4 linked regions of the Arabidopsis thaliana genome follow. The protein of the gene in region 1 interacts with the protein of each later gene in a pairwise test. Each region holds a gene or a part of one and is shown in the gene's direction. Other genes may lie near its edges. The genes, in order: MPK20, SEOa, RGL2 and GAI.

Region 1 (8,777 bases):
GAACCCATTACCTTTTTTTTTTTTTTTCACAATTGAACCCATTACCTATGCGAAGAAAACATGAAACAGTGGGGATAAAGAAGGAGTGGTTTTCGAGGACCCGTGATATTCATTTTTTTTTTTTTTCATCACCCGTGATATTCAAACTCATCATATTTATACACACAGACTATAAAGAGAAACAGACTATAAATAGAAACATACATTATTTTGATAAGTTTTGGAATATTCGACAACAGAAAATTCTCTCTATGTGTGTCCAATTATATTCGGTTTATGTAGGTGGTAATTTAGTAATTAATTACCAGTTTACCACACAGAATAATGGTCTTCCAGTCAAAGTGATTGTAATGTGATTTATACAAATACATTTTGATATTAGTATTTAATTTCTCCAACATGAACTTTGCATTAAATTTGATATATTCAAGTATAGTAATTTTTTTTATAAGTATTCAAGTATAGTAGTTTTAAGATTCTTTCTACTTAAAGAAGATAATAAAAAGAAATGAAAATCTCTCTTTACCAAAATAACAAATTTATTTATGGAAGATCTACTTACTGTAAAATAAAAACAGAGGATAAAAACTTGAAACTTTCCAAGAAAAATAGTCCTATAAATAAGACTTTCACGAAAACCTAAAAGATAATAGAACCTATGGGTATCAAAAAAACCTCTGCAACTGTTTTTCTTGTAATTATATTGACAATTTCGTTTTCTTATTACGATGTTGAGGCCGAGTCAGGTATGTTGTTTCTTTGCGAAGATGTTTATTTTTTTTTGTTATTTTCAACTATCTTTGATCACTACCAAAACAATAATTCAGGAAACAAAAAATTCTTAAAAATATAGAATTAGTAATACAATATTACATGTATCTGTGTATATGTATATGTTGTTAAGAACCTTGAAGAAACTAAAACTGTTATTTGGACATGTATCTACAGATTTATAGTTTTAATGTGGAGTTGTATATATGTGCAGTGATCGAGCCAGCAAAATATGGTGCTTGCCTTTTTCTATGTGATGCTAGACGGGATGATCATGCATGCTTCTATGACTGTACTAATGTAGCTATTTACCGGACTGGACATTGTGTTGGAAATCCTCCACGCTGTTGTTGCATCAGAGGATAATAATCGATTTATCTTCATGACTTCATCAATAATTGGTGAATGGAGCTTGATTTATGTGTTTTCTAGTATATGATTCTAAAAGATGAACTTTTTGAATTGTTGTTTTTCAATTTCTTGATAATGAATAAAACATATAACTTATCATGAATTTTGGTATTGGATTATGATTTTTGAGAGCTTATATGATCCAAAGCAGAGAACTTGGGGAGTGGTGAAAGGCCTTGAAGAAGGATTATTGCCTGGCGCTTGTAAGTGGTCAAAATGAGTTACCCTGGTGGGAAATTGGTTCTGTTCTTGCAGAAAACAGAGATCTTGTGTTTGCAGAAAAATTGCAAACCGAATCTTACATTTTCCATATCTCCTTACCCATTTTATGTTCGCAGAAAAATGAAAGACGTAAATTAGATTTCCTCACATTTTTTCACATAAAAAGAAAGAAAGATTTCCTCACATTTATTCAAGACTAGGTACAAAAATTCTTTGAAGATCATTTTGAAAAAGGATTAGGTCCACTAGATTGAAAAAGACTAGAAAGTAAAAAAAAATGAAGATATGTTTTCTTCTACATGAACCTTATGATGCAAATATCATTTTGGCCAAATACATAAAACAACAAAAATTTAACTTAATTTAAATCAAATTAACACCAAAAAGAAGATTAGAAAAAACATGTCTATTGAAAAAAGAATATGGAAGTATAAAGTAAAACAGTACTAACACACTATAAAAAAAAATGTATTATTCTTCGTTTTTCAACCAAACACTATGATTTGTGCTTACGTAACAAGGTCTGATTGATATTTTTTGTTTAATCCCGTAAGACTAAATATAAGATTCGCTCAATCGTCAAGTAGTTTAGTTATTAGCTAATCAAAATATGATTATCTTTTTTATAATTTAGTTAAATAATTACACTAATGTGAGCTGGTTTGACTTTTGATTTTAACCACAAGAAGGAGACAGTAAGACAGACTAATGATTAGCTGGTTTATTACATTTGACAACAAATCTCTCACGCGTCAGAGATGACGTGGCGTTAACTATTCGGATATGAAAAGCCCTGCGTGTTTTAAAAAAATGGCATGGCCCATTGGGCTAGTTAAGTGAGAGTTTGTTTTTTTTTCTACCCCTAATATTACTATATTACACTCATGCCACAACCAAAAGCTAAATTAATATTGTTGTTTTTAATTGAAGGTTATTTGATATACAATATTAATGGAAAAAAACAAAATAATATATATTTTTTTTTACAGCAAAATAATTGAGAATCATATTACCAGAAACTTAATACAAAAAATAAGCTAAAAATTCCTTACAAAAATGAAGATGATGAAATATAGATTGAAAATATAATTTAGCAGTATATACAATATAGCAAATGATAAAGTGAATAAAACAAAGTTTTAGCAACTAAAATTAGCAAAAAAGCTTTTAAGGATAAAGATGATAACATTCTATTAACATTATATCTATGAGATAAGTACGTGACAAAACGAAAGAATTGGATAAAGAAGACATGAATGAATGGCAATAAAGATCAAAAATAGATCATACACTAATAATGACCAGATCAATAATGTCCTAATTAATTTATTAACACTTGATCAAATAATTTATTTTTTCGTTTTACTAATGGGTTGTTTTTTTGGATCACAGTGACCAAAGCAGCTTACCAAACGCGACACTTTAACCTCTATATATAAATCTCCGTCTAGATTCCTTCCTTATCTCTCTCTCTCCTTTCATTTTCACTACTTCTTCGTCTCTCTCTCTCTCTCTCTCTCTCTCTCTCTGTATCCCTTGTGTGTCGGTGATCAGATCTCGTGCCGACGAAAACGTGCGTCTAAAGCAATGCTGTTCGCACTCTGCTATCTTCAATTCCTCGATTTATCTTGAACTGCGATTGTTTGTTGTTGTTTCGATTTCGTTGGGGGTAATTGGGTGAATTAGAGAGGTGAATGAGAAATTCGCCTGCGATTCTGTCTCTGTCGGTGATCGATTGCCGGAGCAGAACCAGGTCGGATTCTAGCTTCGCCATTTGGAGTAGTGGTCGATGGGGCCAATGCGGCTGATCTGAATTTCTATTTCCCTCCCCCCAATTCAGATCGAATTCTAGGGTTCTTCTAATTCCTGGGTTTTTAGTCTGTGTTTCAATTGAGTCACGATGCAGCAAGATAATCGCAAAAAGGTGAAACAAAAACTCTTCCTTTTTTCCAATTATTCCATCCGATACTATCTGTTCTGTCTGAGATATTTATGTGTGTGTTTCGGTTAATCTTGTTTGTTTCCTGTTACTGTCTTTAATCTTTTTGCCGTTTTGGACAACTCTGTTTATGATCAATGAACGTTACAAGTGTCATCAAACAAACAACGCATAATTGTCATCATTCAAGACAAGATGATGTGTTGTTGAGACATTTTTTTTATTTCTTCATCAGCAAATTGACATTCAATTGCATTGATCCTTCATTAGGCGTCCTTTGTAGCATCAGTAGAGAACCTTCTGCATCTGATTCTTGTATAGTGTTATCTCTATTGTAATGTTTCTGACTTGGAAGTAATGGTATTTGTAACAGAATAATCTGGAGATGGAGTTCTTTTCTGACTATGGCGATGCCAATAGATTTAAAGTTCAAGAAGTTATTGGAAAAGGCAGTTATGGAGTTGTTTGCTCAGCTATAGACACTCTTACGGGTGAGAAAGTCGCGATAAAGAAAATTCATGATATTTTTGAGCATATTTCTGATGCTGCGAGGATTCTACGTGAGATTAAACTTCTTAGACTCCTAAGGCATCCAGATATAGTTGAAATTAAGCACATTATGCTTCCTCCTTCACGAAGAGAATTCAAAGATATTTATGTTGTCTTTGAGCTCATGGAATCGGATCTTCATCAAGTTATTAAAGCCAATGATGATTTGACTAGAGAGCATTACCAGTTTTTCCTGTATCAGTTATTGCGTGCACTGAAGTACATTCACACAGGTAGTCTTTTTCTTTTGGTCTCTCTTTATCCGGCATCTAGCAATAGTCTTTTCATCTTCAAATCTCTCTGTGTGTATATATCGCTCTCTCTGTAGATGAAAATCTTGGACACTTGCAAAATGTAGTGTATGTCAGATTTGTCTTTTAGGACTTTACATTCTACAGTACTATCTCATACATTGATGCACTGAATTGGATTCTTGCGGTTTCCATTGTCTGGCTAAATGTTTGCCTTTTGAAGTTTGCCCCAATATATCTGAACTTTAACTCAGCTGTCGAGTTTGGTTTGTTGTATTATATTATCTTATGAATCTTGGTTGTTGCAGCTAATGTCTACCACCGAGACCTGAAACCAAAGAACATATTGGCAAATGCAAACTGTAAACTTAAGATTTGTGATTTTGGATTGGCAAGGGTTGCATTCAATGATACCCCCACAACAATCTTCTGGACTGTACGTTTGACAAGATGGCTCTCTAAGAGTCTTTTCCTTCTCTTAAACTGAAGTTGGTCTAAATATTATTCACTACGTTGCAGGACCTGATACTCTTCTACATTATTTTCTACTGAATTTACAGGACTATGTTGCTACCAGATGGTATAGAGCTCCAGAGCTTTGTGGATCTTTTTACTCTAAGGTGTTCATTTGTTCTCTATATAACATCTTTTAATTGGTGTGTTGCCGCGATATAACTTTTGATGGATTTGGCTTTGTAGTATACACCCGCAATTGACATCTGGAGTATAGGCTGCATTTTTGCGGAGGTGTTGATGGGTAAACCACTTTTCCCTGGAAAGAATGTGGTTCACCAGCTGGATCTTATGACTGATCTGCTAGGGACACCTTCCCTGGACACCATCTCACGGGTATTGATCTTCTTGCTAAACGAAGTCCATTGAGTTTCTACACATCTTAAGCAAGGACCAGTAGTGATGAGTACCCTGCTTTTATGATGTTATACAGGTGAGGAATGAGAAGGCAAGGAGGTACTTAACAAGCATGAGGAAAAAGCCACCCATTCCGTTTGCACAGAAATTCCCAAATGCAGATCCTTTGTCTCTGAAGTTGTTGGAGAGGCTTCTTGCTTTTGATCCAAAAGACCGGCCAACTGCTGAAGAGGTGCTTTTCAACTTCCATATTGACTAACTATCTCAAATCTTGAATTCTCGGCTTCCTGATTGTTTTCTCTCTCTAATAATAGAGTATCATGCATTTGGGGTTTCTATTGGAGTGAATCACTAAACTACTCTTGTATACTTGAATCAGGCACTTGCTGATCCATATTTTAAGGGATTGGCAAAAGTGGAAAGGGAGCCTTCATGTCAACCCATCACGAAGATGGAATTTGAGTTCGAGAGAAGAAAGGTCACTAAAGAGGATATAAGAGAGCTAATTTCTAGGGAGATACTTGAGTACCACCCTCAGCTGCTTAAAGATCATATGAACGGGGCTGATAAAGCCAGTTTTCTCTACCCAAGGTCGTAATTTTTGTTGATTACATTCTTGAGCTAGCATTGCATATCACACCCAGTCCCTGACATTGATGTATACTGTGCAGTGCTGTTGATCAATTTAGAAGACAATTTGCGCATCTTGAAGAAAACAGTGGTAAAACCGGCCCTGTGGCACCTCTAGAAAGGAAACATGCCTCTCTTCCCAGGTATATCCTCATTTTTTCTGTAAAGTCTGTTGTCACTTGATCTGGTTTCGGTGATCTCCTCTGTTTTTGACCCCCGTTATGCAACTGCTATACTAGTTGTATATTAATATACATTGACATGGCAAGGATAAAAAAGATGGAATCATAAGACCGTGACTATCTGTTTCTTGTGTTGAACACTAATTTCTATAAAAATATGTCCTTCTGACTCTGTGTTTGCATGCTTTCAGATCAACGGTCATACACTCAACCGCAGTAGCACGAGGAGGACAACCAAAACTTATGAATAACACAAACACATTGAACCCTGAAACTACTCAAAACATTCCTTTTAATCATGCAACAATACAAGCACAACAAAGAAACCTCTCAGGTACTTTTAATCACTCATCCTGAATCCAACAGCAATGTGTCCAAACTGACCTCTATAAACTGTAAAACATCTATCTACACGCAGCAGCCAAACCAAGCACATTCATGGGCCCGGTTGCACCTTTCGACAATGGCAGAATCAGCAGAGATGCATATGACCCGAGATCATTCATCCGGAGCACTAATCTCCCCTTTTCACAACAATCTGCTGCAACAGTCGCCATGGGAAAGCAGCAAGAGAGAAGAACAACTATGGAGCCTGAGAAGCAGGCAAGACAAATATCTCAGTATAATAGATATGCACCAGATGTAGCCATCAACATAGACAACAACCCGTTTATCATGGCTAGAACGGGAATGAACAAAGCCGAAAACATCAGTGACCGGATCATAATCGACACAAATCTGTTACAGGCAACTGCCGGAATAGGAGTCGCAGCGGCAGCTGCAGCAGCTGCTCCTGGTGGTTCTGCTCACCGGAAAGTTGGAGCTGTTCGGTACGGTATGTCAAAGATGTACTAGTTCTCCACCTAAGCTGGGCTTTCATCACACAGAACATTGTATGTTTCCATCTTCATGTCATAAAAGAAAATTGTCTATGACACAAAACCATATGAGCAAAAAATATTTTTTTTATTAATTGTGATCCATCATTTGTTTGTTTTTTCTATTCCGACAAATAAATAAATGGATGTTAGATTCTGGTATATATAACAAGAAAGGTTGAGAGTTTTTCACGTTTAAAAGAACCGCTGGCTACAGAAGATGGATCAGTGTGGATGCGCATGGTGATGATGATGATGGTTTCATGGCACATCCAAACGCATGTGGTGGTGGGAACCCATATCACAGGCACCACTTTGTTCTTCCAAATGTCAGTAGAAACAGAAAGGTGCATTGTCACTTGATCATATCTTTAAACCAACCAATTTGTGTATATATTTTTGTGTAAACAGTTGAGTTCGCTTACTTTCTTCCTAAACAAGTTATTTCTTCTACAAATTAATAAATGAGCACAATGAGAGATTGCTGTTCAATAAATAGTATCTCAAAATAGAAATATCAAAATAAAATTAGAAAAAATCATTTAAAGATTATTTATTCACTTCTATTTTAATTAAAATAAAAATAAAAAAATTTGGGATCTTTCTTCTTCTTTCTGATTATAAAGTTTTTAATAAAATAAGTTTTAAAGCAAAAGAGAGATATAGCAAGTGAAAATGCATGTACAATTGAAAAAAATGCAACTAAATGAGGCCAAGAGAGGAGACAAATAAGGTTAGAGGTGGACCCAAAAACCACTGTATGCATTGTCCCAGAGATCACCCATCATGGTAGGTCCACCTGTGTGGCCCATATCTCCAGCCTTTATAGAAAAAAAGAGAAGATAACTAATTAACTTCCCTTGATTTGGAGTTTTTTAGCTAAACATTACATATTTTCTTTCTTAATCTTCCCCTTTCTTAATTCTTAAAAAAACATATACTGTCTTGTCTTTAACCAAACTCTTCTCTTTTATTTTTGTGGCAACAAAAATAAATAGTGAAAGGGAATCATCTCAAACTCCTCCTAGATATAAATATTTAGGTTTTCGTCATTAAATAAAAGTTATTTTGGAAAAAATAGAAACAACGAACAAGATACAAAAGGACATAGAATTGATTATTCCAAGACGACGAATGTGAAAGCTGGCTAAAAGCTAAAATTAAATTTCGAGTGTGTTATTTTTGTAACATATTTAATGTAAGTGCAAATACATAAATAAATAGATACTAGAATTGGGGAGAGTGTCAGTTTGGTAGATGGTGAAATGCGAAAGGCACCCGATTTTTGTAAATCTCAATCCCGAGAAACCAAACCCTCCTTCGTCCCCTCTTTGGAAACATCATCTCTTTCTTTATTTCTCTCTTCCATCTTCTTCTTCTTCTAAAACAACATCTTAACAATTTTTAGTATTACTAAAAACCCTAGACGTAAAAGAAATGTGTTATTCTGTTCCTGATCTTTGTCTTAATTAAGACCATACATTATTTCTTTTAATTAGATGTCAATCATTATTCTTTACTAAATTTTTTTTCTTGAGTAGATTTAGGTTAATTTGCAATCTTGGATTAAAGACCTACAAAAATGCAATTGTTTTTTTTTAATGCAATTATTTTTTATTAAGTCTTTATCTAGTTTTTATATCATATAGTTGACAAAAGAAATGCACCGGAGGGCTCATTTATGGAACCAACATTAAGTAAGATTTACTATAACGGTTTTATGTATAAAAGATGTATATTATAAAGATCTCTAGCTAGAAACATGTAACACTATATTCGAATCCAATAACACTAAACTTCCTTGGCTTTCTTCTTGTTATATAGTGGCCATTTCTCTAACATTATAGATATATTGAGATTGTTGTTTTTACGTGGTAAGAAATATGGGATGTTAATTGGAGTTTCTTTTAATAAGAAAAAGGAGTTGACAAAAAAAAAATGAAGGACAGATTTAGGAGGTCACTGAGGTGGGGGGGACCCAAAAAAGGGTTGACACGTGGCCACCATGCCCGATAGATATCATGTGGATCTTAGTAGGATTAGGTCCTCAATTGTACGAACAAGTTCACTATCT
Region 2 (7,642 bases), on another chromosome or scaffold:
CTTCCTTTGTCAATAGTCTTAGTTGGGGTCGGGGATGGACCATGGGACATGATGCAGGAATTTGATGATAACATACCTGCCCGAGCTTTCGATAACTTCCAGGTAAGCTTCTTTTTTTCATATCATGACATTGAAGATTGCTTCTTTTCTTCAGTTTGGAACCATTTTTCTAACATGTTTGCTCTGTTTCTAGTTTGTGAACTTCACAGAGATCATGTCAAAGAACAAAGACCAGTCTCGGAAGGAGACAGAGTTTGCGCTGTCTGCTCTCATGGAGATCCCTCCACAGTACAAAGCAACGATAGAGCTTAACCTTTTAGGGTAAGGGACCCAAATCAAAACTCTGATAGGTGTAGCTGCGAGAAACTGCTATATTGTTAAACAAAATGCTCACCTTTCTCTTTCCCTTACATTTTTGCAGGGTAAGAAATGGAAATATCCCACAGAGAATCCCACTTCCGCCACCGGTGCAGAGTGGATCATCATTCTCTAGTTCCCGGATACCGAATTTTGAACCGAGTGTACCTCCTTATCCATTTGAGAGCAAGCAAATGAGTAGTGCAGACGATATTCAGGTAATTAGTAGAAACTTAGGAATCTGTTTGAAATGTTAAGTGAAATAAGAGCTTTGGAACTTTTTGTTGTTAAACTCGTTTGTGTTATTTTCCCCTTGAACAGCTATGTCCGATATGTCTGAGCAACCCGAAAAACATGGCGTTTGGTTGTGGCCATCAGACTTGTTGTGAATGCGGACCAGATCTTAAAGTGTGTCCTATTTGTCGTGCGCCGATCCAGACCAGAATCAAGCTTTACTAACAACACCATTGACATGCAGCTTTGACCAGCCCAAATCCCATTTCTTCCAGAGATTTTCAGATCTTTCTGTAGAAAATTAAAGTGTTCTTTTGTTCTTTGATTGAATTCCTAAACTTTATCTTGTTCATAAAATTTCTTTGATTGGATTGTAAGAATTATGTATTTGTCTGTTGGCTTTCTTTGATTTTTCAAGATTCGATTAAACCAAAGTTGATTGCTTAAACACTTTAATTTTGATTTGTTTTGTCGACATAAGCAATGAGAAATAAATGGATGAATAGCCCAATAGAAGCCCATTAGCCTGAAATTGGGCTACAAGCAAACATACCAAATAAATAGTAGGGAAGAGCAGAAATAATCACACCACTCATCAGTTATCCATTCCTTTCTTTTTACATAAATTTTGTCACTTTTTCTACAAACGATTCTTCGCTTCTGTGAAATTTGATAAAGCGAAAGTTTTTTTCTTATGGATTCTCTTCGATTCAACCTCCAACAATCTCCATTTCAATTGAAACCTAGAATTCTCCGACCAAGAATCACCAACATATCAAACCGAATCGATGAAACCGATCCTCGACCATCATCCTCGGCCGGTAGGATCCAAAGGTTAGTACTTAACAACGAAGGTCGGACCAAACTAAACGCCGATCCTGACCGTGAATTCTATTCATATCCACGGTTCGTGAACCACGTAGATGATAGTTTCATATCCTCCTTAACCGAACTATACAGAAACCGGTTGAGACCCGGTTCGACTGTACTTGACTTGATGAGCTCATGGGTCAGCCATCTTCCAGAAGAAGTGAAGTACGAGAAAGTAGTAGGGCATGGTCTTAACGCACAGGAGCTTGCTCGTAACCCTAGACTCGATTACTTCTTCGTCAAGGATCTTAATGAAGATCAGAAGTTCGAGTTCGAAGACAAGTATTTCGACGCTGTTTTGTGTTCTGTTGGTGTACAGTATCTACAACAACCCGAAAAGGTACGTTACCGTAAACCAAAACCGATTTCGGTTATGTCAAGAAGATTCCTAAACCGGGTCTTTATTATATAAACCGCAGGTGTTTGCAGAAGTGTATAGAGTGTTGAAACCGGGAGGAGTGTTGATAGTGAGTTTTAGCAACCGGATGTTTTATGAGAAAGCAATTAGGGTTTGGCGTGATGGAACCGAATACAGTCGGATCCAATTGGTGGTTCAGTACTTTCAGTCTATTGAAGGGTTTACTCAGCCGGAGATCATCCGGCAACAGCCTGGAGCTCAGATATCGGTTTTGACTCGGCTTATGGGTTTTATCGGTTTAGCTTCTACGCCCGATCCTTTTAATGCTGTCATTGCTTATAAAAATTTCAAACCTATTTATGAGTAACACGCACATAAAAAAAAGTGTATAAGAATTGGATGGGAAGTTTTTGAAGAAAAGGAAAAAACCTCTCAACCAAGTCCAGCTGGAGAAACTTACAATACAAATTTTTAAAAAGTGGAGAATGAAATTACAGATTTCAATCAAATTGGAAGAACCTGTATTACACAAGAAATAATTGACAGAAAGATTACACACTTTGGAAAATATAATTAATATATAGTTTTCAATTAGCATGCATTGTATGTGATTCGTTTTGTTCGAAGATTCATGGACAATATCCAAGCAAGGTAGCCTTGTCCCTCTTCAAACGAGTATCACGAGTTGCTTACTTTATGGTTTAGATTCTATAATAACAGTATATATATTAGAAGGAAGTCTTTTATATTAAAACAAAAATCCATTGTATATGTACACTATCTATGTTCCATGCATGTGTCTTCTTAAATAGCTATGAAGTCCCTTATTTTACTATGTACATACTAAATTTAGTTATGTTTATCAGGATAACTCGTTGTACCATCAGTATATAAACTTTGAAATATTAAATGTTTCTCACTACTAGTATTAGACTGTTGCAGTTGCGTTAGAGACGTTTCATATTTAGAAATAATATTATCCAAGACCTGAAATTCTTATTATTATGAAAATTATGAAATATCGATAAGGGAAAAACTGTATGGAAGTGTAAAAGACACCAAAACAGATATTGAACCAAAGGTGAAGCAAAGAAGTTGATTCAAAGTTGCCACTTTATTTAACCTTTTGCACCAGTATATATACACACACATGGATACTAACCCAATCATTCATCACAACACATCAGATCCTTCACCATATATTTCTCTCAACCTCGCCAATATGGCCCAACGCTTTCAATTGAACTCACAAACCCTCCCAACGGCCGACCCTCTCAAAAGGGTCTCCCTTATTCCAAGATCCGCCGAGCAGAGGCTGGCTGATAACGCAGGCGAGAGGCGTCCTTTAGCACCGAGATCTCACGAAGACAACCCCTTTGGGGGTCATACTGATGATCACCATGTTGCTGCTCCTGCGGACCATAATAAGGTGATGGATCATAATAGCGAGAATCTCGGTTCCATTGTCCCTAAGACTGCACATTACCCTCATCCATCTGAGGAAATCCTTGATGCTAATATCCGACATTCGATGGTTCCGAAATCATTGGGTCCCAATTCGCTCGGTGGAAGATTTGGTCCGGGAAAGAAACAAGCTTTCCATAGAAATGGCAGACCCATGTTTTCACTTTCTGATGACCGAGTCATGGCTGATAGAGTCTTGAAGACTCACAGTCCAGACATGATCTTCTTTGATGTCACATCACTTCTCTCCGTTGTTAATGACATCTTCAAGTCTCATGTCCCATCCATTGACTCCTCTGCTCCTAAGGTTTAGTTTACTTGTGCAACAATTAATCCCCATTTCAAATACTGATTTTTACAAGCGTATTAAATTTAAAACTTTTTGCAGCCATCACTCGTCTTCAAGGACTACGCTGATCATACCTCCTTTGAAACTTTTGCGGATCTCATTGATCAAATCTCTTGCGAGGTATATATGAAGCTTTCTTGTTTTAAGTAACGTTTGAGTCAGTATCTAAGTATCAATGTCTCTGACACAGATCGACTGCAAGTGTCTCCATGGCGGTGAGTCTCACGGTATGATGACATCAGGGCTTCATTTGGATAGTCGCAACACGACGACGTTCTCTGTTCTGTCTTTGGTCTCCAAATACCGTTGGGATGCTAAGCTAGTCCTTGTCCTATCTGCTTTGGCCGTGAAATACGGCGTTTTTCTCCTCCTCGCGGAGACACACGCAACAAATCAGCTCACAAAATCTCTGGCTCTCATCAAACAGCTCCCTAGCATCTTCTCCCGGCAGAACGCTCTACACCAGCGTCTCGACAAGACCCGAATTCTGATGCAAGACATGGTTGATCTCACCACTACCATCATCGATATCTATCAACTCCCGCCAAACCACATCACAGCCGCGTTTACCGACCATATCCCCACTGCGGTTTACTGGATTGTTCGCTGTGTTTTGATATGTGTTTCTCACATCAGTGGCGCCAGTGGTTTCAAGCAGGAGTAAGTTGTTTTTCTTTCTGATTTCTAGGGTTTCAAGTAGGAGTAAGTTGAGTATGTGCTTCTCATCTATGTTTTCAGTCAAATCATGTCGTTTATGGAAGTTTCGGAGATACATGAGAATAGCGAAAGGCTTAGGAAGATCAATGCTTACTTGTTAGAACAATTCAAGAAGAGTAAAATGACCATCGGTAACTACGACGTCGTTTTAAGCTCTCTCTCTGTTTCTATATATTTAAGAGTATTTTTATTCCTCTGTTCTCAAGCTCTGTTTTTTTTACTCTGTTACAGAGGAAGGTATAATCGAAGAAGAGTATCAAGAACTCATCCAGACGTTCACTACTATCATTCACGTCGACGTTGTTCCTCCTCTACTTCGTCTTCTCAGACCCATTGATTTTCTTTACCACGGAGCTGGTGTTTCAAAGAGACGCGTAAAACCTCCTTATATCTCTGCATCTGTATATGTCTCTTGTCAGTGACTGATCTGTTTTCAAACATTAACCAGGTCGGGATCAACGTGCTCACCCAAAAGCACGTTCTGCTTCTGATATCAGACCTAGAAAACATCGAAAAAGAGCTCTACATCCTGGAATCGCTCTACACAGAAGCATGGCAGCAGTCATTCGAGATTCTTTGGGTTCCAGTTCAAGATTTCTGGACAGAAGCTGACGATGCCAAGTTCGAGGCCCTTCACATGAACATGAGGTGGTACGTTCTTGGAGAGCCTCGGAAATTAAGACGAGCCGCGATAAGGTTTGTGAGGGAATGGTGGGGTTTCAAGAACAGGCCTATACTCGTTGCACTTGATCCCAAAGGTCAAGTTATGTCAACCAACGCCTTTCCTATGGTCTGGATCTGGCAACCCTTTGCTCACCCTTTTACCACCGCAAGGGAACGTGATCTATGGAGCGAACAGGAGTGGAATCTTGAGTTCTTGATTGATGGCACTGATCCTCATTCCTTAAACCAGGTTTCTTGATTGAATAAAAAAACAGAGTACTAATAAATTTTTCTTTCTCTTGTGTTACACGTAACCTGAAAATCTGTGTGTGTTTCAAATGTTTTTTATCAGCTTGTTGATGGAAAATACATATGTCTCTACGGAGGAGAAGATATGCAATGGATCAAAAACTTCACGAGTCTCTGGCGTAATGTAGCGAAGGCCGCAAACATTCAACTTGAGATGGTTTATGTCGGGAAAAGAAACCCTAAGAATGGAATCCAGCCGATAATCAACACAATCCGGGAGGAAAATCTCAGCCATACTTTGCCGGACTTGTTCCAGATCTGGTTTTTCTGGACCAGGGTCGAGAGCATGTGGGAATCGAAGCAGAGGATGCTGAAAGCCCACGGAATCAAGGGGAGAGAAGGGTTTAAAGAAGAGGAAAAGGACCTTGTTCTGCAAGAAGTGGTTGCTATGTTAGGTTATGGAGGAGAAGGAGATGGATGGGGACTGGTGAGTAAAGCATCGGACATGATGGTTCGAGCCAAAGGGAACTTGTTTTCTAGGGGTTTGGCTGAATTTAACGAATGGGAAGTCAACATCCCCACAAAGGGTTTTCTTACAGCGCTCAATGATCATCTCTTAATGCGTCTCCCACCACATCACTGCACAAGGTTCATGCTTCCTGAGACTGCTGGAATTATACCTAATGAGGTTGAGTGCACCGAGTGCCGTAGGACTATGGAAAAGTATTACTTGTACCAATGCTGCCTTGAGTAAGATCCCATAATACTGGGGAACAAGTTGATTTGGAAGCCAACAACTTGTTCCTATAAAACCAAATAAGTTTGCGTCTTTTTTTTCCTCCTTGTTGTGAGTTTCTCTACTCTTCATGTTGTTGTTGTTGTTCTGCTCTACTAAAAGCAGAGAGTCTTTGTAATAAAATTTGTGTGTTTGAGATTTCGAAATAATAAAGGTTTATTTATCGGAAGCTTCTAGAACAATGAACTGATTGAACATTGCTTCTTTGTTGATTTCTTGATCCTTAAGCTCCTAGAACACTAGTGAACTAATACACAAGTAACACAAGTGACCGTGACATTTTTTTAATGTGACAGTAATATCTTTTGACATTTAGCCTTTTGAAATGAAATTACTTAATGCTAGTAAAATATAGGCAAAGTAAAAGGATGGATCAATCAATCAAAAGATGAACAGTCTTTTGAGTCCAAATCACATATCGTAATATATCTAATAGAAAGTTAAAAGTGTTAGTCTACATTATTGAAAAAATAAACCATGAGACTGATTGCTGTATTACAAAGGGGGAATACAACTTTAAACGACAAATCAGCGGTTCCTAGCCTGTAGTTAATGTAAAAGTTAAATCTTCCAAACCATCAAATACTTTTTAAATATTGCATATATCGGATTCGATTTCGAAGAAGCTCTTATACGTATTTCTAATGATGAGATATTAAAATTTGTTGCGTATAGAAACAACAAATTTAATCCTACCTATAAACGTTATGCTAAAGTTAATAGAAAAAAAAAAAAACATGCATAGAATAAACCCAAAGCATAACAATCTTATTTTTAGAAAAGTGATTGTCTTTAGATAAATATATCCTTGGTTACTCTTTTATTGCTTTTTTTAGCCTTATCCAAGATATATCATTGAGCTTAAGAAATTCTTTAGTTTTACCCAAAAGAGAGCAAAGAATCTTAACTTCACACCCTTTTGTTCACTTCACTCTTGATGCTATTTTCTGAGGCATGCATGAGATAAAATCAATGTAAAGTAACTTAAAGTAAATGACAGAAGCCATAAATTATAATATTCTATGGCATGAGGTGAAGTAACATAAGAATATAAGCAAAGTAGCAAACAAAATGTGTCTTATCTTTTAATGTCCTTTAGTAACATAAAAATGCGAGAATTAATTAGTAGTCCAGTGATCATCATTATGATGGAGAAAAGTGAGGAATTCGTCTCCAAACCTCCCAAGAAAATGACAAAAATCTGTATATTTTAGGATCTAAATTTCTAGTTGGCAATGAAGTTAATATCATTAGTAGCAATATTAAAATAGTGTAGTTTTTGATCCACTTTTAGTCTTATATGAATTTGAATTCAGTAATACACACATAAAGAAAGAGTACTAGCTCTAAAGATTTACGAGTAAAACTCGCAACATTTCAGTGAACCATTTTCTTCCCATTATGATTTAGTTCTTATTTACTATATATATTCGTGTAAAGTAGGCCTATACTTTATTGTGCTAACGATATTCACGTGGACGGGAACTATATATCTCATTAAAACTTCTATAATAAGCCACCAAAAAAAGAAAAGCAAAAAAGAAACAAGATTATATAATTGATATTCTTTGTATGTTTAATTTAA
Region 3 (6,943 bases), on another chromosome or scaffold:
ACCCTAATTTGATTCAACAAGCCAATAAATTTCAGCAACAGCAGCAGCAACAGATGATGATGATGATGCAACAACAACAACTACAACAACAACAACAGCAGAAATTGATGCGTCCATCGAATCAATTGGAGATACAATTCGCTTACCAAGACGCTTGGCGTGTTTGTCATCCTGATTTCAAACGACCTTTCGCTTCTCTCGAAGACGCTTGTGAAAGGTTCGTCTAATTCTGTTTTTCCCCCAATTGTTTTCTCATAGAATTGAATTGATTTTATGGATTGTTCTTAGAATTCTGGGTATAGTGATTACTTGAAATAGTTCTTTGACTGAATTGATCTCTCTGGTAGTCATTAGTTAATTGTATCATCTTTTCATCGTAAAGGCCAATGCTTTATTGGAGTTCTTCAACTTTTTTCTCGGGATTGCAGAAAAAAGTTTTCTATTTTGAATTCCATGTGACATTGTATATGTTGTTGATCCATATATGAAATGTTTATAAAATGTGGAATTTCACTATTTCTTTGTGACATTTACAATTTTCTCTGTGATTTCACTATTTTTTTTTGCAGATTGTTACCTTATCATGTTGTAGCAGATTACGAAGCAGAAGAAGATGATAGTATCTTTGATTCAAACACAACAAGCCAGACGCTACCCCGCTGTCAGCAATGGGACAACAACATTGCAGCCAAAGTTGCAGAATTCACGGCGACATTTGAGGGACAAGTCCAAGCTTTCGACAGGATAATTCAAAAGAGAAGCGATGGAGACAGAGTTGAGGAAAGGCTGATGATGGAACAAGTTTTGCTCAATGACGAGAGAAACGCATGTATCCAGCTGGATAGGGAGATGAAAGCTCAGGATGCGAGGTTAAGAATGGCGGCTTTGGCTCAAGCAGCAGGACAAGCAAGGGCAGAAGAGTCTCAACAGTCTCATGCCGAGATGATGGCTCGTAACCCGTTGAGAGCTAATGCGATTGGGAATCATGGAGAACAGGGGCGTAACATGAACCCTAATGAGATGATGTTGCTGATGAATGGATGGGGGAACAATAACAACAACAATAATAGCCAGAAGGAAGAGAAGGAACCATTAGAAGATTTCTTGAATGATGAAGAAAATGAAAATGGTGAACATGAGAAGTGGCGAAGAAGTGGGGATTTTGATTTGAATATTCGGTAAATGAAACCATGACTCAGATTTTCTTTTGGTTTGGTTATCCAAATACTCGTAGTTTGGTGATGTAGTTAAATCTTGAAAGGTAGTGAATAAGGTGAAAGATAAATTGACGATGATGAAGTGTTCTTTGAGGTGGACTAGTTTTGGCGAGTGAGCATGACGCGCTTCAGTTTCGATTCTCTCATCTTATGAATTTTAAAAGAGGGATCCTAAATAAAAAGTAACAAATAATGTAAACCACAAAAGCAAAACAGGCCAATTTAGACACAAGTTACATCAAATGACTAAAAATGGAAAAGCATGCACCATGTGACTTCTAACACAACAACGAATATCATTTTCTTGTAGCTGCGATTGGGACCATACCTATATACAATCCCCACAACATTTTTCTATAATTTATTTTCTTATATTCCAAAAGGATCTTTTACGGTTTCCAAACGATACCACTATTCGAAAAAACCTTAATTATTATGCATGATGATGATGTGTGTATGTAAAACTGCTGAAAGATATATGCAATAAATTAATGAAAGTAACCTTATGTTGTGGACGTCTCGTAGGCTATGTCTTCCTCTACGTGGCACATGAGAAGTTGCTCATGTGTCCCCCTCAAATACTTGAGCTGTAGACTGTAGTTTTATCTCAGTGAAACAATACATAGCTAAAAACATATTTGTTTATCATTATGGTAAAAAAGAATTCACATCACCAGAATGTTAGAACTTGGTCAAGAAAAAAGAGAGTAATAGTTGAATCATATTTGTGTCTGATTATACTTTTCTTATGGACCAATAAAATAATTAGTTATCTAATGTTGTCTCAGTTTAATATGATCTCTAAAAACTGATTACTCTATGACATTAAACCTGCTGGTAACAAAAAATTGTTTGCTTTGAAAATTTGTATTTTTATCCAAACACTAACAACTTAGGATTCTTGCTTCATGATTATACACTTTCGACTGAGGAAAAGATTATATACTTTCTACCAAGATATGAGAAAATCAAATTTGTATAATTCAATATTTTCAGTTGTCATTAGAAAAGAGTTGATTATCAAATGTCAATTATTTAGTGAAAAAATAAACATTATCCAACATAAGGAAAAAAACTACACTTAAGTGCCATTATCTTAACACGCATTTGGTGCCGTTTGGGTTTAAGAACAACGAAGTCGTAAGCGAGAATATGACAATATTCAATGGCATTTAAGAACAATTAAGTCGTGATCGTCTATAAGACTATGACACTATCATTAAAAGACACTTTAATCACTTCACAACTTAAAAACATCTTACCAACAAATATGACGAAAGCACACTACAACCTAAAAGTTATAAAGTTCCATTGGTCAAAACTACTAAACAGATTTAGAAATCTCTACTAAACAGTTATAAAGAAAATTATCCATTACTACAAAAAAAAAGGAGTAAATTTCTTGGAGTTAGGAAAAAATGAAAGAGAGAAACAGATGCCAAACAATAGTGGCATGCTCTGATTCTTATCTCTTAAACACACTTCACAGTCACTTCTCTAATTGGACCTCTCTCTCACTCCCTCGTGCTTTATATATTGCTCCTCTCAGAATCTCCTTTCTTTCCACAAAAATTGTCTGTAACCAAATCACAACAAAGACCCACAAAATTCTTTTTTTTTTCTTTTTCAAATCCCATTAATAAAAACCTTACCAACCCATGAAGTAAAGTAAACTCCTTTCTTATAAACTCTCTTTTGTTCTTTTTTTTTCAACTTCATCAGTCTCTTAACTCACCATCACAAGAACAAGAAAGATGAAGAGAGGATACGGAGAAACATGGGATCCGCCACCAAAACCACTACCAGCTTCTCGTTCCGGAGAAGGTCCTTCAATGGCGGATAAGAAGAAGGCTGATGATGACAACAACAACAGCAACATGGATGATGAGCTTCTTGCTGTTCTTGGCTACAAGGTTCGATCTTCTGAGATGGCTGAAGTAGCACAGAAGCTTGAACAACTTGAGATGGTCTTGTCTAATGATGATGTTGGTTCTACTGTCTTAAACGACTCTGTTCATTATAACCCATCTGATCTCTCTAACTGGGTCGAGAGCATGCTTTCTGAGCTGAACAACCCGGCTTCTTCGGATCTTGACACGACCCGAAGTTGTGTGGATAGATCCGAATACGATCTCAGAGCAATTCCGGGTCTTTCTGCGTTTCCAAAGGAAGAGGAAGTCTTTGACGAGGAAGCTAGCAGCAAGAGGATCCGACTCGGATCGTGGTGCGAATCGTCGGACGAGTCAACTCGGTCCGTGGTGCTCGTTGACTCTCAGGAGACCGGAGTTAGACTTGTCCACGCACTAGTGGCGTGCGCTGAGGCGATTCACCAGGAGAATCTCAACTTAGCTGACGCGCTGGTGAAACGCGTGGGAACACTCGCGGGTTCTCAAGCTGGAGCTATGGGAAAAGTCGCTACGTATTTTGCTCAAGCCTTGGCTCGTCGTATTTACCGTGATTACACGGCGGAGACGGACGTTTGCGCGGCGGTGAACCCATCTTTCGAAGAGGTTTTGGAGATGCACTTTTACGAGTCTTGCCCTTACCTGAAGTTCGCTCATTTCACGGCGAACCAAGCGATTCTAGAAGCTGTTACGACGGCGCGTAGAGTTCACGTCATTGATTTAGGGCTTAATCAAGGGATGCAATGGCCTGCTTTAATGCAAGCTTTAGCTCTCCGACCCGGTGGACCTCCGTCGTTTCGTCTCACCGGAATCGGACCACCGCAGACGGAGAATTCAGATTCGCTTCAACAGTTAGGTTGGAAATTAGCTCAATTCGCTCAGAACATGGGCGTTGAATTCGAATTCAAAGGCTTAGCCGCTGAGAGTTTATCGGATCTTGAACCCGAAATGTTCGAAACCCGACCCGAATCTGAAACCTTAGTGGTTAATTCGGTATTTGAGCTCCACCGGTTATTAGCCCGATCCGGTTCAATCGAAAAGCTTCTCAATACGGTTAAAGCTATTAAACCGAGTATCGTAACGGTGGTTGAGCAAGAAGCGAACCACAACGGAATCGTCTTCCTCGATAGGTTCAACGAAGCGCTTCATTACTACTCGAGCTTGTTTGACTCGCTCGAAGACAGTTATAGTTTACCGAGTCAAGACCGAGTTATGTCAGAAGTGTACTTAGGGAGACAGATACTCAACGTTGTTGCGGCGGAAGGGTCCGATCGGGTCGAGCGGCACGAGACGGCTGCACAGTGGAGGATTCGGATGAAATCCGCTGGGTTTGACCCGATTCATCTCGGATCTAGCGCGTTTAAACAAGCGAGTATGCTTTTATCGCTTTACGCTACCGGAGATGGATACAGAGTTGAAGAAAATGACGGATGTTTAATGATAGGGTGGCAGACGCGACCACTCATCACAACCTCGGCGTGGAAACTCGCCTGAGTCGCGGCGGTAGAGATGACTCGCCTGAAACCGGGAAAAACAATAAATGTTTTAAAAAATTAGGAAAAGAGACCGTAACTTTAGTTATGTTTTTACTTTTTAACCCGAAGTTTTTGTGTGTTTAACCTTTTTGCCTAAATGTTTACAACTTTATCTTTTTGGACCTTGTGCGTATCTTTGAGAGTTAAGAGAACGAGTAAAAAATCTTGTATCGTAGATCGAGCTAAGTAGTTTTCAATAAATGGAAGGATAACGATTCTGTATGTTTTTTACTTGATCCAATATATATGAATTTATTTAAATGATTTTGTGTCATATATTTTTCAAATTTGGACAGTTTCGTTGATAACATGGGAAGTGAACGTGAGCGTTTCTGAAAAGGCGGATCCAAAATGTACTTTCAGTTTCGAGGACTGATGTCAGCCTTTGTTAAAAGATTTTCTTCGAAATATATTTTGGTACATTTTTGTTTTCGAAACAGATTGTTCTTTTCTCTCTCTTTATTATGGGTTTGATGAGGTAATATGGATGTCAAATTGATTTTGACGTACGTTATCAACTTTTAAAAATATGCGAGGTGAAATTATTCTACTTTTATGAGATCATAAGCCTCAAATTCAATGGTCTTCTACCTAAGAGTTGGTGGATCTAAATTTTGGGGGGTTTCAGTTTTGAAAACATATATGAAGTTATTCTTTCTGGAATTCAATCTAGACGTATAGTCAAGAAGGAAATTATAAAACGACATTAACGTAGGGATTTTGGTCGGATAGGTTCGGATTATATATAGAACACTCCAATGGCACAATAATATCATTGAAACCTTTTTTTAAAGTAAAAGCGATTCTATAAGTAATGCATGTACACACAAAAAGACTTTAAATTACAAAATGATTTTATTATGAACACTTTTGAGTAAAAAAAAAAAAAACCAGTCACTAAGAACCAAAGCGCCGGCAACTGGACTGGCATATATATATTCTTCAATCTTCATCACCCTTATTCGGAGTCAAACCACCGTTTTTATACTTGGAAGAAACCTAGGGATTGCGGTTTTCGATCACAGGTTATGGACGAACAAGAGTCGAGGCACGTTCTTGTAGATGTCTCAAGCTTTTTTCCATGCTAACTTGGACCATTTCAGCTAGCATCTTCTTTGCCTTACCGGATTGATCATCTCCGTCTATATGAGAGATTAAGCTTGACACTATGTTTTCTATTGTATCGGGTTGGACCTCTGATCTCGGACTTTCCGAGTTCCTTAGTAAACAGAGAAGTCTTTGAGCTTTAATCCGAGATTTCGATGTCCCCTGAACCGTGAGCTCAAGCAGTCCCGGTATTACACCTTCTCTAAGAATTGGCTCTCTGTATTTACTCCTATCGCTTTGGCAGAGCGTTAAAAGCACGCCAACGGCATGTTCCCGAGCTTGTAATGACCCGTTTTCAAGAACTTCCACGACCGCTAAAACTCCTCCTTCATCAGAAACTAACCCTGTTCTCGCCTCCTCACCAGAAACCATCAAGGCCTCTATTAGTGAACAACATTTCTCAGATGTTTTCGACGACTTTTTACTTGATTTGAGAAGATTCAGTATTGGTGAGAGTGGTTTAGTTGCTAGGATCATGCTTAGGTTATCGGGGAGTGTAGAGAGGTTGGAAAGAGCCATTACTGCATCAGCTTTAGCTTGTGGGCTTCCATGTTTAATGACCTTGACTAATAAAGGAACCACACCATTAGCTCCAATGATGGGTTTGTTGTTTGCTGACGCGGAGAGAGTGAGCAAAGATGCAGAAGCATACTCTTGAAGTGTTGGGCTATTTGATTGTAAGAAGTTGATGATTGGCTCTAAAGCACCGGCTTCAATTATACTCACTTTATTCCTAAAATTTGAAAAATTAGAAACAAAACTCAGAATAATAGTCTCAGAGGAGAATATTCATCGAAGACAATGACACATATGTTTCTAATCAAATAGGCAAAAATCAATCTTTCTTTCTCTAAGACTTTACTCTGCATTCAATTTAAAAGTCATATGAATTGTAATCAAGGGAAAATAGAGTTGAAGCCACCAACCTAACCTCTTAGGAAAACCAAGCAGACGTAATTTAATTAATGTTTATGGGACACCAAAATTAAAGTAGGAAAAGATATTTAATGAAAACAATAGTATAAGAGAGGAAAAGTGAAGCAAAAGAAAGGCGTGAGTCCTAGTATCTTTACTGTGCTAGCTCCATGTCTTCTCTCCACTAGATGGATCCCATTAATAAAAGAAAGTGATGATCTCAGAGTTTAGACCAAAAAATAAATTGACTACAAAGTCGTTTGCG
Region 4 (6,815 bases), on another chromosome or scaffold:
CCAAGTTATTCTTCCTTTTTTTTTTTGTTCCAAAAATGCCTAGTATTTCAAGAATTCAGTAATCCAATTTTACTTGTTTAAAATTGGCTTGTTTATGTAATTAACATATATCACGACTTGTATTACTTCTTTAGAAAAAATAATGTTTGGACTAAAAAGCAGACTAAATATTCATTACGAATGATGTGACACCATTTTCATTTGTTAGCTTCTACTACTATAAAAAATAAATAAAGGAATCAATGAGTGCACCTTTAATTTTTTTGGTTAATCAACGAGAGCACTTGATATCAAGTATGACGATAACCAATCAAAGTAAAAAACTTTGGATGTCTTTTTCTCTTTGCTAGTAAATTAATAATTATACCTACCGAATTTGTAACACATTACACATTGACATGGTGCATGTTTAATCCAATACTATCGACGTCACTCTATACTCCGTAAGTAATAGTATATATACATTGAAATGATCCATTATACCATCTGATAAATTTTTGTGAAGTGGCTAAAAATATAAACAGTTTTTTTTTTTTTGTGAGAAAATGATGTAACGGAGCATAATTATTCGTGGAACACAAGAACATGTAACCAACCATGTAGCACAGCGTTAATTGAGATGGTCCATACGAAGAGCCGTCAACGGTGGGAATGGTCATCTCAATTCTCATCAGGGCCTAGCGTATAAAAATACTTTAGAGACGTGTAATAATCACATGGGATCTTTGGGACCACAGTCTAAATGGCGTACGGTAAGTTCAAGGGACCCGTTTTACACGTGGACCCAATCACATGTTGTCAGTTCTGATTTTCACGAAAATAATTTCGAATATTTTTGTAAGACATTAATTAGTGGGACTAATTGTTATTTTCTGATCTGTGTAATCTTATTATGATTTAAGAATAGTTGCCGTAAGCGACGGCGTTAAGTACATACTACAATTGTATTAACCAATTTTATCTACAAATAGCAAAAAAAATCGAGACTATACTTTAAAAAGAAACGATTACAACTTAACTCTATCGTAACATGTAATTGACAAAATAGTGAATGCTATTTAAGTGTAAAGACTGAATGCTACTATTTGATAATTACTGTTATTTTGAAATGGGTTTATATATACTGCAGTTTACTTTTCTACCCCCTTGCTCGAAACATGCCTACATTATTACAAAGGGGAAGGCTAGGGCACTCAAACAGTATGATGAAAGCTTTTAGTTCCCCATCCAAAGAACAAATATAAAAGTCTTTTGTAATTAATGAAAATGTTACTAGTTCTTATCCACTCTTACAGATAAATACTAATAAGGTTTAATTTTTTTTTTAAAGATCTTATAAAAAATGTTAGAAAAGGAGCTTTTTCTTATATTCAATTTAAATTTTTTAACAATTTAAAACTAAAACGGGAAAACGTCATAGTCCCTCAATCTCTTTTTAATAAAATGGAATATTAATTTCCATAATGGGTTTAATGATGGTTTACTTTTCCCAATACAAAAGTTCCATTTTATTTAATAAGACTATACTAAATACTTAAACTTTTTAATAAAAAATATCTGTATTTTAGATCAAAAGTTACAATCACACAAAACCAACACAACAAACTCCTTAAAAAAGCGACAAAAAGTAAATTGTACCACTAGTTGCATGACAATCTTTTTAGTTGTTCAAAATTGTATGACCATCTAAACTCTAAAGTAATACTAACTTTAGAAAATATTAATCTGTAAAAAGCTATATATTCCCTAATATATTAGTTTATTAATTTCAATATATTCCCTAATTACAAATTTTGGTGTGTGTGTGATTTTCAGCCTTATCTCTTTGAGCTGTAGATGTTGCTGTTAGCCCTCTGATCCATGATTCATCGGACATCGAGCCCCATCACGAGCCTTTTTATTCTCAACAATAATAATCATTTTTTTTCTTATAACCTTCCTCTCTATTTTTACAATTTATTTTGTTATTAGAAGTGGTAGTGGAGTGAAAAAACAAATCCTAAGCAGTCCTAACCGATCCCCGAAGCTAAAGATTCTTCACCTTCCCAAATAAAGCAAAACCTAGATCCGACATTGAAGGAAAAACCTTTTAGATCCATCTCTGAAAAAAAACCAACCATGAAGAGAGATCATCATCATCATCATCATCAAGATAAGAAGACTATGATGATGAATGAAGAAGACGACGGTAACGGCATGGATGAGCTTCTAGCTGTTCTTGGTTACAAGGTTAGGTCATCCGAAATGGCTGATGTTGCTCAGAAACTCGAGCAGCTTGAAGTTATGATGTCTAATGTTCAAGAAGACGATCTTTCTCAACTCGCTACTGAGACTGTTCACTATAATCCGGCGGAGCTTTACACGTGGCTTGATTCTATGCTCACCGACCTTAATCCTCCGTCGTCTAACGCCGAGTACGATCTTAAAGCTATTCCCGGTGACGCGATTCTCAATCAGTTCGCTATCGATTCGGCTTCTTCGTCTAACCAAGGCGGCGGAGGAGATACGTATACTACAAACAAGCGGTTGAAATGCTCAAACGGCGTCGTGGAAACCACTACAGCGACGGCTGAGTCAACTCGGCATGTTGTCCTGGTTGACTCGCAGGAGAACGGTGTGCGTCTCGTTCACGCGCTTTTGGCTTGCGCTGAAGCTGTTCAGAAAGAGAATCTGACTGTAGCGGAAGCTCTGGTGAAGCAAATCGGATTCTTAGCCGTTTCTCAAATCGGAGCGATGAGAAAAGTCGCTACTTACTTCGCCGAAGCTCTCGCGCGGCGGATTTACCGTCTCTCTCCGTCGCAGAGTCCAATCGACCACTCTCTCTCCGATACTCTTCAGATGCACTTCTACGAGACTTGTCCTTATCTCAAGTTCGCTCACTTCACGGCGAATCAAGCGATTCTCGAAGCTTTTCAAGGGAAGAAAAGAGTTCATGTCATTGATTTCTCTATGAGTCAAGGTCTTCAATGGCCGGCGCTTATGCAGGCTCTTGCGCTTCGACCTGGTGGTCCTCCTGTTTTCCGGTTAACCGGAATTGGTCCACCGGCACCGGATAATTTCGATTATCTTCATGAAGTTGGGTGTAAGCTGGCTCATTTAGCTGAGGCGATTCACGTTGAGTTTGAGTACAGAGGATTTGTGGCTAACACTTTAGCTGATCTTGATGCTTCGATGCTTGAGCTTAGACCAAGTGAGATTGAATCTGTTGCGGTTAACTCTGTTTTCGAGCTTCACAAGCTCTTGGGACGACCTGGTGCGATCGATAAGGTTCTTGGTGTGGTGAATCAGATTAAACCGGAGATTTTCACTGTGGTTGAGCAGGAATCGAACCATAATAGTCCGATTTTCTTAGATCGGTTTACTGAGTCGTTGCATTATTACTCGACGTTGTTTGACTCGTTGGAAGGTGTACCGAGTGGTCAAGACAAGGTCATGTCGGAGGTTTACTTGGGTAAACAGATCTGCAACGTTGTGGCTTGTGATGGACCTGACCGAGTTGAGCGTCATGAAACGTTGAGTCAGTGGAGGAACCGGTTCGGGTCTGCTGGGTTTGCGGCTGCACATATTGGTTCGAATGCGTTTAAGCAAGCGAGTATGCTTTTGGCTCTGTTCAACGGCGGTGAGGGTTATCGGGTGGAGGAGAGTGACGGCTGTCTCATGTTGGGTTGGCACACACGACCGCTCATAGCCACCTCGGCTTGGAAACTCTCCACCAATTAGATGGTGGCTCAATGAATTGATCTGTTGAACCGGTTATGATGATAGATTTCCGACCGAAGCCAAACTAAATCCTACTGTTTTTCCCTTTGTCACTTGTTAAGATCTTATCTTTCATTATATTAGGTAATTGAAAAATTTTAATCTCGCTTTGGAGAGTTTTTTTTTTTTGCATGTGACATTGGAGGGTAAATTGGATAGGCAGAAATAGAAGTATGTGTTACCAAGTATGTGCAATTGGTTGAAATAAAATCATCTTGAGTGTCACCATCTATAAAATTCATTGTAATGACTAATGAGCCTGATTAAACTGTCTCTTATGATAATGTGCTGATTCTCATGAATATGCTCTTTTAATGTGCATGGTATTATAGGTGGACCAGATTATTTTAACAATGCTAAGTCGTTTTCAGTTTTCTTATTTGTTAATTTGAAAGAAGAAAAGTAAACAAAAGAAACCGAAAAGATACAAATGTCCACCTTTAATACATGTATCTGAAAGATATAGTAGGCGATTATATATGTCACCTAAAAAAAAAAAAGAGTAGGCGGATTATATTGTTCAACATCAACTGCACATAAATAATTCCACATATGTAAAAATGGGAGATGTTGATGTTCTTCGTAAATAAAAGACTGAAGTTTTTTTTTTTTTTTTTTGACAGCAATTGAAGTTGGTTTACGAACTTGTTTAAGAGATAAAAAAACATTCGACAGTGGTGGTAGTAGACTAGACTTCACTCGTGACCCTTTGGTATTATATAGTTGAGTGACTGTGACATTTGATCCTTTGTGATGTATAAAAAGGGCACGAGGGCGGTTTGATGGTTGATTATAGTCAACTTTTGCTACCCCACATATATGGGCCGAATAAGTGCTAATGGGCCTTAGTAAAAATCCCAAAACAAGTAGAAATGGTTCAGAAAAAAAGATAGCAACTTTGAGGTGGGAATTGGTCAATTGGCAAAACAGAGGGTTCTAAAATCTAGGGTTTATACGTTCTATAGAAGGGAGAGGAGGAGACGTGAGAGTCTTTAGGCGGAAAAATATATTTGCATATTTACTTTTGTATGTGTTTGATTTTGTTTCAGAATTATGGATATTTTGGATTTTGGTTAATCAATCTCTCTCCCCTCGTGAAAAACTTTCTTTATCTATTTTGATGAAATTTTTATTAGGAGATGGATAATGAGAGTCATGAGACTAAATGACTAACATACATCCGCTTTATATCTTACACAAAATCGTATAACTAACACACTTATTTTATTACGAACACGCATAATAACATCACAGACAGAGATGGTATACATAAGCATACAATACAATTGCTTAACAAGACCGCCATTATTATTAGCATAACATGTAAAGGCGGATGATAAAGGCACTTACGAGACAAGTACAAAAGACACATGCATGAGGATGATTTACGACGATGACCATGGAGGGTTATTAAGCTTTGTTCTGGCCCTTGAGGATGTGGTCATCCATATCAGCAACTAAGCTCTTGACAAACTTCATGTAGTTGATGGGTTCGGGGGAGTCTTCGTTGCGATTCTCCCATATCAGAGTGACTTTGCAGACGCAGCCTTCGTTCGACTTGGGAATGAACTGTAAGATAACCTCATACTTCTTGTACTTCTCCATCACATGACCCTCTAGTCCTCTGAACGTCAACGCCATCTTCTCGTCGTCTATCTCTCTTTTCTCCTTGATGACTTCCGGCTTCCCATCTTCATACACACACACACATTTTTAGTCCACATTAGAATATATAGATATCATCCAATCCTCGCGTGTTACCAAACACAGAAAGAGATAGAGTAAAGTATGGACCAAGTGTGTAGTTCCAGGATTTGATGGAGCCGTGGGAGTCCCAGTCGCCATCGTGGACGGTGACGCCTTGGACATGGTGGCCGATGGCGTCCGGGAAGAGATTGTTTTGGCTCCTCCATCGCCTGTAGTGTTTCTCCGCCGACCCTTTCAGCGGTACTTCCGCCACGTATTTTCCTGACATCGCCATTTCTTGATTGATTGTTTTCTTTTGAAATGTGTCAAGTGTTTTATTCGATGGAAAAACCCAAGTGTTGCGCTTCCTTTATATACAAATTAAGACTCACCACAACACTAACAAGAAACGAAATTATGGCGATAAAGATTTAATTATAGGTGGTTTATATCTTTTAAACTATAAGATAAAGATTTCATTCGTTTAACATTTGCTAAATCCTGAATATGAAATGCTTAGTCCATCCGTACCATTTTAAGTGACTTTTAACCAAATAATTGTTTTATTTTAAGTGAAAGTTAAAGAAATGTATACGTAAGGATAGTTTGTAAGCGCTTGAATATAAGGTTTGAATTGGTTGGAATATGTCATTATTAATAGATAACACATAACAGATTATTAACTGGATAAAAAGAAGCAAGAAAAGTAGGGCGAAATAGACGGGCAAGAGGGTTTTGCGTTATTTAATGACCATAGATGTCATAGTGATATGCTCCACATGTGTATCCCATGTGTCGTCATGTCCAAATTACCTCACACTTATAGATTCTTTGAACCTATTTTTGTTTTGTTTTGACACAAGCACCCTTTTATGTTATAACCATCGACTTAAGAAGTATCTTTAATTTACATAAAATATGAATATATAACAACTGAAAACTGTCCTTCAATTAGATACGAAACGTGTCCATCAAAATTAGTTATGCATATATTGATATTCCCACATATGAATCAATGTTGGAATTGGATTGATCCGAGTTTATGATAAAATGTGGGATTAATGATTATCCAATATATATTAGTATTTTGTATATAATATAATTAAGAATATATGTAGAGTGTTCAGGTTTTATAAGTTTTTTAGTACGTATTAGAATAATCTATTTAGGGTATCTATGTTTAGTTTATTCTTTCTTTGTAAAAGCTGCAGATTGTTATAGATTTCTAAATTTCAGTCTTTACTTGGTTATCTTTTTTTGGTCATATCGTTCGTACTTCTTAATTATCACACCCACATGCATGAATATTTCAATATTCCCCTTTTTTAGTTAAAAGACTTTACGGTAAACGAGAATAATTTTTTTACGAT

The links.
Region 2: the proteins of MPK20 (region 1) and SEOa interact in binary tests that used the Arabidopsis thaliana proteins (3 or more experiments, as listed by UniProt).
Region 3: the proteins of MPK20 (region 1) and RGL2 interact in binary tests that used the Arabidopsis thaliana proteins (3 or more experiments, as listed by UniProt).
Region 4: the proteins of MPK20 (region 1) and GAI interact in binary tests that used the Arabidopsis thaliana proteins (3 or more experiments, as listed by UniProt).

The regions. Positions count from the first base shown.
Region 1 is NC_003071.7:17,838,475-17,847,251, reverse strand, and holds MPK20 (MAP kinase 20), read left to right. Parts: upstream 1-2,871; 5' UTR 2,872-3,304; coding exon 3,305-3,328; intron 3,329-3,716; coding exon 3,717-4,125; intron 4,126-4,451; coding exon 4,452-4,579; intron 4,580-4,703; coding exon 4,704-4,763; intron 4,764-4,842; coding exon 4,843-4,992; intron 4,993-5,089; coding exon 5,090-5,245; intron 5,246-5,392; coding exon 5,393-5,604; intron 5,605-5,684; coding exon 5,685-5,786; intron 5,787-6,016; coding exon 6,017-6,159; coding exon of another isoform or gene 6,160-6,182; exon of another isoform or gene 6,183-6,243; coding exon 6,244-6,680; 3' UTR 6,681-7,084; downstream 7,085-8,777. Other genes in the region: AT2G42885 (Defensin-like (DEFL) family protein), read left to right, coding at 659-746, 986-1,137.
Region 2 is NC_003074.8:244,247-251,888, forward strand, and holds SEOa (sieve element occlusion protein), read left to right. Parts: upstream 1-2,945; 5' UTR 2,946-2,969; coding exon 2,970-3,590; intron 3,591-3,671; coding exon 3,672-3,752; intron 3,753-3,822; coding exon 3,823-4,292; intron 4,293-4,370; coding exon 4,371-4,480; intron 4,481-4,580; coding exon 4,581-4,723; intron 4,724-4,797; coding exon 4,798-5,262; intron 5,263-5,364; coding exon 5,365-6,015; 3' UTR 6,016-6,226; downstream 6,227-7,642. Other genes in the region: RGLG1 (RING domain ligase1), read left to right, coding at 1-102, 194-321, 422-575, 679-816; AT3G01660 (S-adenosyl-L-methionine-dependent methyltransferases superfamily protein), read left to right, coding at 1,286-1,801, 1,881-2,186. UniProt on the Arabidopsis thaliana protein: Scaffold protein required to form the phloem filament matrix in sieve elements.
Region 3 is NC_003074.8:817,308-824,250, reverse strand, and holds RGL2 (RGA-like 2), read left to right. Parts: upstream 1-2,598; 5' UTR 2,599-2,971; coding exon 2,972-4,615; 3' UTR 4,616-4,914; downstream 4,915-6,943. Other genes in the region: AT3G03460 (mediator of RNA polymerase II transcription subunit-like protein), read left to right, coding at 1-217, 570-1,182; AT3G03440 (ARM repeat superfamily protein), read right to left, coding at 5,683-6,496.
Region 4 is NC_003070.9:5,147,296-5,154,110, forward strand, and holds GAI (GRAS family transcription factor family protein), read left to right. Parts: upstream 1-1,686; 5' UTR 1,687-2,118; coding exon 2,119-3,720; 3' UTR 3,721-4,120; downstream 4,121-6,815. Other genes in the region: AT1G14930 (Polyketide cyclase/dehydrase and lipid transport superfamily protein), read right to left, coding at 5,170-5,450, 5,554-5,740. UniProt on the Arabidopsis thaliana protein: Transcriptional regulator that acts as a repressor of the gibberellin (GA) signaling pathway. Transcription coactivator of the zinc finger transcription factors GAF1/IDD2 and ENY/IDD1 in regulation of gibberellin homeostasis and signaling.